Ovis aries: one gene and its partner. The protein of the gene in region 1 purifies or fractionates together with the protein of each later gene. This does not show direct contact. Links are inferred from orthologs where the notes say so. Each region holds a gene or a part of one and is shown in the gene's direction. Other genes may lie near its edges.

The links.
Region 2: the proteins of GPATCH2L (region 1) and CSNK2B purify together in Homo sapiens (co-immunoprecipitation; 3 studies listed by BioGRID and IntAct, with this or other methods). This does not show direct contact. The link is inferred for Ovis aries from reciprocal best matches to the Homo sapiens genes GPATCH2L and CSNK2B.

Annotation. Positions count from the first base shown.
Region 1 is NC_056060.1:85,680,948-85,684,759, forward strand, and holds part of GPATCH2L (G patch domain-containing protein 2-like), read left to right. Parts: exon of another isoform or gene 1-1,559; intron 1,560-2,520; coding exon 2,521-2,681; 3' UTR 2,682-3,812.
Region 2 is NC_056073.1:26,712,999-26,717,410, reverse strand, and holds the start of CSNK2B (casein kinase II subunit beta), read left to right. Parts: upstream 1-1,369; 5' UTR 1,370-1,494; intron 1,495-2,094; 5' UTR 2,095-2,105; coding exon 2,106-2,177; exon of another isoform or gene 2,178-2,894; coding exon 2,895-2,997; exon of another isoform or gene 2,998-3,505; coding exon 3,506-3,621; exon of another isoform or gene 3,622-4,068; coding exon 4,069-4,144; exon of another isoform or gene 4,145-4,280; coding exon 4,281-4,412. UniProt on the Homo sapiens protein: Regulatory subunit of casein kinase II/CK2.

The DNA of each region.
Region 1 (3,812 bases):
AAAAAAAAGAGAATGTCCTTTTTAAAAATTGTCTTCCCACTCTCTGAAGGAGAGTGGGAATATATTATCCTAATATATCTTTTTGCTAATTATTTGTCATTCTTTATTGTTTTCAAATAGTTTTGACAGACACATGTACCTCTAAGGCAGTATATTGTCTAGTTTTACATCTTTTTGAAGCTTCTGTAAATGGAATGTCATATTTTATAAGTTACAAGTTTCACCTAGTTCTTGATTCCATTCACATTTTATCCTACCAGAATCCATTCATTATTGCCATATGTATAGTATTCCATTTCTGAGCATGATGAATATATTACAGGTAATCATTCTTAATAAGCATTTCAGTCATACTCTTACGACAGTCATATTCTTGCTCTTATGCTGGTTTGTGCTGCCGGGGAAAGTATTGCACCATTCTGTGGGAGAACATGCGCAGAAGTTTTTCTCGGCCATTTCTCAGTTCTTACGATGGCTGTATCAAAATAAGCAAACAAACACAAAAAACAGCATGTGTTGTTTGAAGAATGTGGAGAAATTGGAAAGCTTGTATATTGCTGGCGGGAATATAAAATAGTGCAGCCACTATGTGTAAAGATCTGGTGGTTCCTCAAAAATTTAGACACAAAACTACCCTGTGATCCAGCAGTTCTGTTTCTGGATATGTATTACCCAAAAGAATTGAAAGCAAGGATTGAAATAGGTATTTGTACACCTGTGTTCATAGCAACATTATTCACAGCAGTCCAAAAGTAGAAACAACCCAAATGTTCATCACCGGATGAGTGGATAAAGAAGATGTGGTCTATACATTCAACAAGTTATTATTCAACCTGAAAACTTTCATTATCAGAATGAAATTATGAAACACGTTACAATATGAATGAAGGCAATGTGTTAAGGAAAATAAGCCAGACACAAAAGGATGAATACTATTTGATTCCACTTAGAAGAGGTACCTGAAACAAATCAAAGTCTTAGAAACAGAAAGTAAAATGGTGGTTGCCAAGGGCTGGGGGAGGAGGAGAATGGGGAGTTATTGTTTAATGAGTAGAGAATTTCCATTTGGGATGAAGAAAAAGTTCTGGACATGGGTGGTGGTGATGGTTGTGCAACAAGTGTGGATGGACTGAATGCTACTGAGGAGTATGCTTAGAAATTATCAGAATGGTGTAGTTCATGTGTATTTTGCCATAGTAAAAAAAAATATATGTAGCCAACACAAAAAGTTTTTCTCAGATAGTTTTTTCCCCATGGTTGATGACCTTGTGGTATTGGTAGGTACAGTTTTTATGAAATTTATTTTCACTTAAATTAGAGTGAATGAGCATGCGTACTTGTGTGTGAAAAAGAGAGATTTGGGTGGTGATGTCATATGTATTTCTTGCTGCTGGGGTTGAGGTTCTGAAATAACTGCTGCCCTCTAAAAAACTTGTATATGTGCCATAGAGTAATAGCTTTCGATATTTTTTCCTGGTAACTCACAGTAAGAAATTCATGTTTGAATATATATTGGGTGTAACTGTAAAATCTGAAATAAACCTTTGGGTTCCCTCTGATATTTTCTGTTCTTTTTCATCAACGGAAAAAAAAAAAATGTGTTTGTCATGACCTACTACATTGGTTTTGTGACCCATAATTTGAAAATTACTTTTCTAGATTATATTCCTGGGAGTAGAATTATTGTGACAGGATAAAAATGAAATTGTTAATGTTTTGCTTTATTTTAGTGTGTATTTGTTTTCAGTAGAGTGATGGTGGTTTGTACTACTCTGCTCAGGGGGCATGTGCAAATGTGGGGGCAGTGTTGGGTTGTCACAGTGACTGGGAATGCTTTGAGCATTCAGGGATAGGTCCGGAAGGGTAGGTGTCCTAAAAGAAATAGGACAGCCCTGCACAAGCAGTGGTCATCCTGTCTAGAATGTCTTAATGTCCTTGCTGAAAACAGATGGCCCGGCTGTGTAATTTTTTTGCCTTACTGTTCAGTGTTTATTCATGACACTGTCATATTGGAGGCATGGAACATTATAGAAAGAGCAGAGGGCTTGGAGTCTAGTATATGAGTTTGAGTCTTGCTACTTAAACAGCCGTGTCTCTGAACAAATTATCTGCTTTCTCTATGCCTCAGTTTTCTGACCCAAAAAATGGAATGGCAATACCTATTTCTAAGAGTTTGCATTAAGAAATAAGATTGTAAGTATACAGTGTTTATATAGTATAGTTCCTGGCATGTAAATGCTTCATTAAGTGGTTATTAGTACATTAAGAATTTATACTCCTGAACTTATTCATTTGTTCAATTAAACCTATTTTCTGATGTGGAGAAATACTTATCATACTTAAATCTTGCCTTTAGTTTTTGGTTAAAAAAAAGAAGAAGAAAGAAACCCTATTTAGCTGCTTGGTTTAATAGGACATAAAATATAAGGATTAAGAAAATTTTGTGTTGACATGCCTCTCATTCTAATTTGTCTCGCTTTGACTTTTTTCCTCCTTATTTAACCGCAACACCCTTACCAGTTCACATGGATGCAGTGGAGTCAGCTACACCAGCGTCACAGGCCCCCAAACCTCCAGACTCTGAGTGGCTGGTCAGGACCTCTGCCGCAGAGAAAGCCACTGACTCAGCAGCAGCTACGTTTTTTAAAATGCCACAGGAAAAGAGCCCTGGTTACAGCTAGACCGCAGTATTTCACCCACCAGGAGCTGACTGGATGTTGTTGAAACAAATATTAGACTTTGTATTATATTGTCTTGCATATGTTAATTGACATTCCCAGCCCTTTTGCCATCAGGACTGACTCCTCTTCAAACAAAGAAGTGAACTCTTTCTCTTAGAAAATCATGTTGTGCAAATCTTTTTTTTATTATTATGAAGTATTGAGACTGCAGTTTTTTTAAAAAAAGGTCATCCAACGCTGTATATGTTAAATTGCTATTGTTGTCCCAAGTTACCTACAGCCCTGTTTACAGAGCTGTTGATTTTTTGCAGATATGTCTTGTTTTTCTTGAAAAACCAGTAACTGCTTTTGCCTATTTTTTGTGTAGTGCTTTTAATACCATTTGAGGAAGTTCTAAATTTGCAGCCAGTTCCAAACACAGAATTAAGACCTGTGTGTGGAATTAATTTGCAGGAGATAAGGCTTGCTTTTGAGCCTTGTCTTGATTCAAGCAGAGTGCCAATAAGATAAATTCAGAAAGTTCTTAATTTGAAGCCTCAGAAGAGACACCAGCAGCATGGGCCTTGGGAACTTACTCCATTTTTCTAGATGGCCTATTGGAGTCGCCAGCAGCTGCATTGTATGTTGCCTCATCTCCAAAGTCTGTATTCTACCAAAAGAGGATCTATATATATACATTCAGATGGGTGTAATGAAGAATACATACAGATGGGTCCTTTAGGTGTACAGCAAATTTAAAACAGTCAGTGGATTGTGTCTAAATACTTCATGTCACGGTGTAAGCTTTTATGTACTAAACGAGACTTTACTGGTAGTATTATAGTCAGTAACCTGTAGCAGAAATTCATACTTTATTGTAATAATGGCTTCTTGGGGCCATACTTTGGGGAGGGAAAATGTCTTTTCGACATGACTTTATACTTGGCGTGTTTACGACGGCTTAGCTGCCTGTGGAGTTATATATACAGCCATGCCTGAAGTTGGACGATCCTTTGTCAAAATGAGGAATATGTGACTGCCTACAGCTACTGGAGGAAAGCCACCCTTTCTAAAAAAGTATCCAGAGTGTCTGTCATCCCGGGACCTGGTTGGCAGAAGAGCTCTCTTTTGGTGCAAAGTGAGTGCTTTTAC
Region 2 (4,412 bases), on another chromosome or scaffold:
ACCGTGCGCTCCGCCCCTACCTCCATCCGCACCAACAATACCAGCCTCTCTGAGACAACTTTATCACAGCGTAAAACATACCATTAAGAAAAACAATCAAATTGGCTCTTTAAATCTTCCTATTTCAGGGTAAGTTCTTCCCAAACAAAAACAAACGCGACACGTCTCCGGAAGCAGGAAGCAGCTTTCAGGAAGAGGTTCCAGTCTGTGTCGCTTTATAGCTTCCGTACTGCAAAATGGCGCTACTCTAAGCAAAGGAGTCGACAAATAATCACAGGGCACAAAGACGCATGCGTGGCCGGGGAAACAAAACAAAACAAAACAAAACACCTGAGGGTGCAGGCGCGCGCTAGCGCCGGGTTTTTCCCGCCCTGGAATGTTTCCATAGCAGAAGCACAACGCACCACGTGCCGGGGCAGCGCGAGGACTGAGAAAGATCCGTCGGTTGGGGTTCTGTTTTTACATAACGCCCCCACAATGCCCTTCGCCTCCTCCCTCAACGTGGCCCCCGCTCCGAGCTCATTTTCTGGACCTGGGAAATCACTCTCAGGGTTAAAAAAGGCTCTGAGGCGGAGAATGCCCAGAAACCCTGAAATGAAATAACGTCACGCAGCCCCTCACCATTACTCTGACCAGGGTTCGAAGGTCGCATTTAGCGCCCACAGCAGCCCCGTTCAAGCCCTAAGAGGAAATGGAGAAGTGCAAGGGGACAAGCAGCAGAATGGCTGGCACCACCTCAGGTTAGCCCACGGGGCCGTCCTGGTTCTCACACCGCTCAGCTCATCCCAGTACACCCTACCCAGGACCCTCAGCATGGAACCCGGCCTCACCTCCCGCCTCCGCTGCGCGAACCCCGGATGAAACAAGGGCCCCGTCGCGGGTCTCCTTGGCGGGCTGACTCCAAGGAGCAAGGCAATAAGGGCCAGGAGGGCTGGCTGGCTGGGGATGAGGTCAATGCCCCGGGCAGCAAAGTCTCGCCGAGGCCTGAGGCTCGCTGTTTGATGGGAGAAGCAAGAAGCAACCAGCCAGCCTAGTTCCTCTCCCGGCCCACCCCCTCCCCTCCATGGCCCTGCAGTCCCCGGAATCACACGACTATATTTCCCAGGCTACCTGGCCCAGAACGCGGTACTGAGTTTCCGCTTCCGGTGGCGGCTCGCAGTGCCCTGCTGCGCCCCGCCCCCAGCGTACCCCTCCCCCGGGGCCTCGTGACACCAGGGTCGTGCGCGGGTCATCCTGGGATTTGTAGTTCGCTTTTCCCTAGTTTCGTCAGTTTCTTCTTCCCAAGGACTCCATTTCCCGGCATGCACCGCGGCTCCTAACTCTAAGCACTTGCGCGTTGCCCTCTTCCCCACCCTCCCCAGTTTCCACTCCCCCCACCCCACTTCGCCTGCCGCGGTCGGGTCCGCGGCCTGCGTTGTAGCCGTCGTCGCGGTCTTTGGAAGCAGAAACTCCCCTTCCCCTCCCCGTCCCCCGGTCCCAGTCCCCGTCCAGTCGGTGAGTGTGGTGGTCGTCGCCGCGCCATGTCCCCTGTCCCTGGGCGCGGCACATGGGGTCTCCGCGTCTTGATGTGGGGGTGGGAAAGGAAATGACCCGGTCCGGCACCGAGGGTAGGAGAGGTGGCCCGAAGGGTGGAGGCGGGATGTCGGGACTTCTATGAAACGGACCTGACCACCACCTATAGGCCATGAGAAAAGGAGGGCCCAGCTCTTGCTTGGAAAGGATAAACTTCGGAACCCTTGAGAATGGGGCCAGAGACTTGCGGGGGTAGGGAGCTTGAGCCACGGCCCTACCGGAGTTGACACGGAGGAGAGAGGGGCCTGGCTTTCAGGAGCGTCAGGGATGGAGGTAGGACTAGTGGGGTCAAGACCTGTCGGTTTCTCACAGCTGGTGGACCCCGAAGAATTTCTCTATGTAATCTCAGTGAAAAGGGGCTGGAATGTAAATAAGAGGAGCTAGAGAGACGTGCTCCAGTCTCGGGTTCTTTAAGAAAAGGGTAGCCCCAAATTCTTCCATGGTTTGAGGGCAAAGTGTGGGAGGAGTGAGGATACCAGAGGTTGGGAGGGAGAGCTTAGGCTTATACTCTTCTGTCTCTAGCCGACGTGAAGATGAGCAGCTCAGAGGAGGTGTCCTGGATTTCTTGGTTCTGTGGGCTCCGTGGCAATGAATTCTTCTGTGAGGTGAGTTCTCCTCAACCCTACCATCCACCTCCACATGTAATCTGGCCACATAATCTCCTGCACATAAAGCTTCCACACACTTCTCTTACATACTTTAGTAAAAACTCTTGTCAAGGAGGAGTCTCCTTAGTAGCGCTCTCTAACTTGTGGTGAAGGGTCAAGACTGAGACCCCAAGTCAACCCTGCCACCCTCCAACAGCCTAATGTTGGACTTGTCAACCTGTGTTGTTTTTTTTTTTTTTTTTTTTTTTTACCAGGGAAGTACTGATAGTATGTATTTCTGGTAGCTATTAGGAGAATTAAAACACTTCACGTTAAAATGTTTTATAGCATGGCTGTGTGTTAACATAAGGGAGTGTAACTGACTTCAGAATCCAAGCTGTTCAGCCCCCACCTTCCTCAGAGAGCCAGCTGCCCCTCAGGAGAGGCCAAAACTGATTCCTAGAGCTAGGAACAGGAATCAGGACAGGGATCTTGAAAGGACTGCCTCTGTAAGGAGGGGATTGCTTATGTTTAGGAGAAAAAAGCCAGACCTCTTCTGGGTGGGCAGTATACACGAACTAGGGAGAGAGGTTCAAGTACTTCTGCTGAGTTGGGAGTGTGGAACAAAGGGAATGAAGCAGTTGTGTTGAAGATAAGGCACGAGTTAGAGCACCCTGCCCAGGTCAAAGCTGAGGATTCTGCTTTGGGTTTCCTTTTGACTTCACGTCCTGACAGGTGGATGAAGACTATATCCAGGACAAATTCAATCTCACTGGACTCAATGAACAGGTGCCTCACTATCGACAAGCTTTAGACATGATCTTGGACCTGGAGCCTGGTGAGACACCCTCAGGGTTGTTTTGTGTGTGTGCTGTTTTTTTCCTATTCACACCTTGTTTATCTGCTTCATGAATTTCTAAATTTCCTTTTGGTTCTCTAACCCTTTTAACCCCAAATCCTTTACTTCATTTTGATTCCATACCTCACTCTTGCCTAATTTTGTGACTTCTACACTTGTTCTCATACTCTGATCCTATAACTTAGCACTTATCGAAAATGCTAGTTTCTCCATGGGTGTTATCTTCTTCCTTGCCCCTTCCAGGTTAGAGTTCTATCTTCTGTGTTGACATCTTTGCATTTATTTATTAAAAAAGAGAAGGAAGCAGAGGCTGAGAGGGATGGAAAGAAACCCTTGGGTTGGTGGAAGGGGCAGAGGCCCAGGCTGTGGGTGGGGTGAGGCTCCAAGTTGGGTGCTGGGCTGAAGAGCCAGCAGCCCCTGGGAGTAGGCAGGGCACCTTAAAAAGTTGTAAGACAAGTGGTTGCATTTGGCTGGTGCCATGTTTCAGATGAGGAGCTGGAAGACAACCCCAACCAGAGTGACCTGATTGAGCAAGCAGCCGAAATGCTCTATGGATTGATCCACGCCCGCTATATCCTCACCAACCGTGGCATCGCCCAGATGGTGAGGCCTCTCTACTCCTACTCGGTTCCTTCAGAGGCAACAGGGAAGCAGAGTTTCCATCAGCAAGAAGTCACTCGTTTCAGCCTTGTCACGGAATCTAGCTGAGAAGAGGGGAAAGAACCCCAGAATCTGGGCCTAGGGGTTAAGACCTGATTGAGGGTTGAGGTGAAGGGAGTGTTTTGGGGGAGGGAGATGTGACCTAGAGCAGAAAGTTGTAGACTGCCTCTTCCTCAGGGAATAAGCAGTGAATGTCTGATGATCTTCAGACTGCCTGACTGGATGAAAGGAAGCAGGGGAGTCTGAAGGCCCATCTGAGCCAGAGAAGGGGCCTCTGGACATTAAGAGGCAGAAGGAGTTGGGGACACAGTGATGTGGATTGGGCTGAGGAGGGGGTTGCCTCTTTTCTTCATACCTACCCACCAACTCCTTCAATTTCATTCACATCAGTTGGAAAAGTACCAGCAGGGAGACTTTGGATACTGTCCCCGTGTGTACTGTGAGAACCAGCCAATGCTTCCCATCGGTGAGTGTTGGGAAAGGGAAAGGAGGGCCATGGCAGGCTGGGATGGAGTTGGGGCTCAGCAGGTTGGGGCCTGAGTCCAGGAGGGAGGTTGGGCAGGCTTGGGTAACCTGGCCTGCTGAGTCTGGCTGTCTCCCAGGCCTTTCAGACATCCCAGGTGAGGCCATGGTGAAGCTCTACTGCCCCAAGTGCATGGACGTGTACACACCCAAGTCATCGAGGCACCACCACACGGATGGCGCCTACTTCGGCACCGGTTTCCCTCACATGC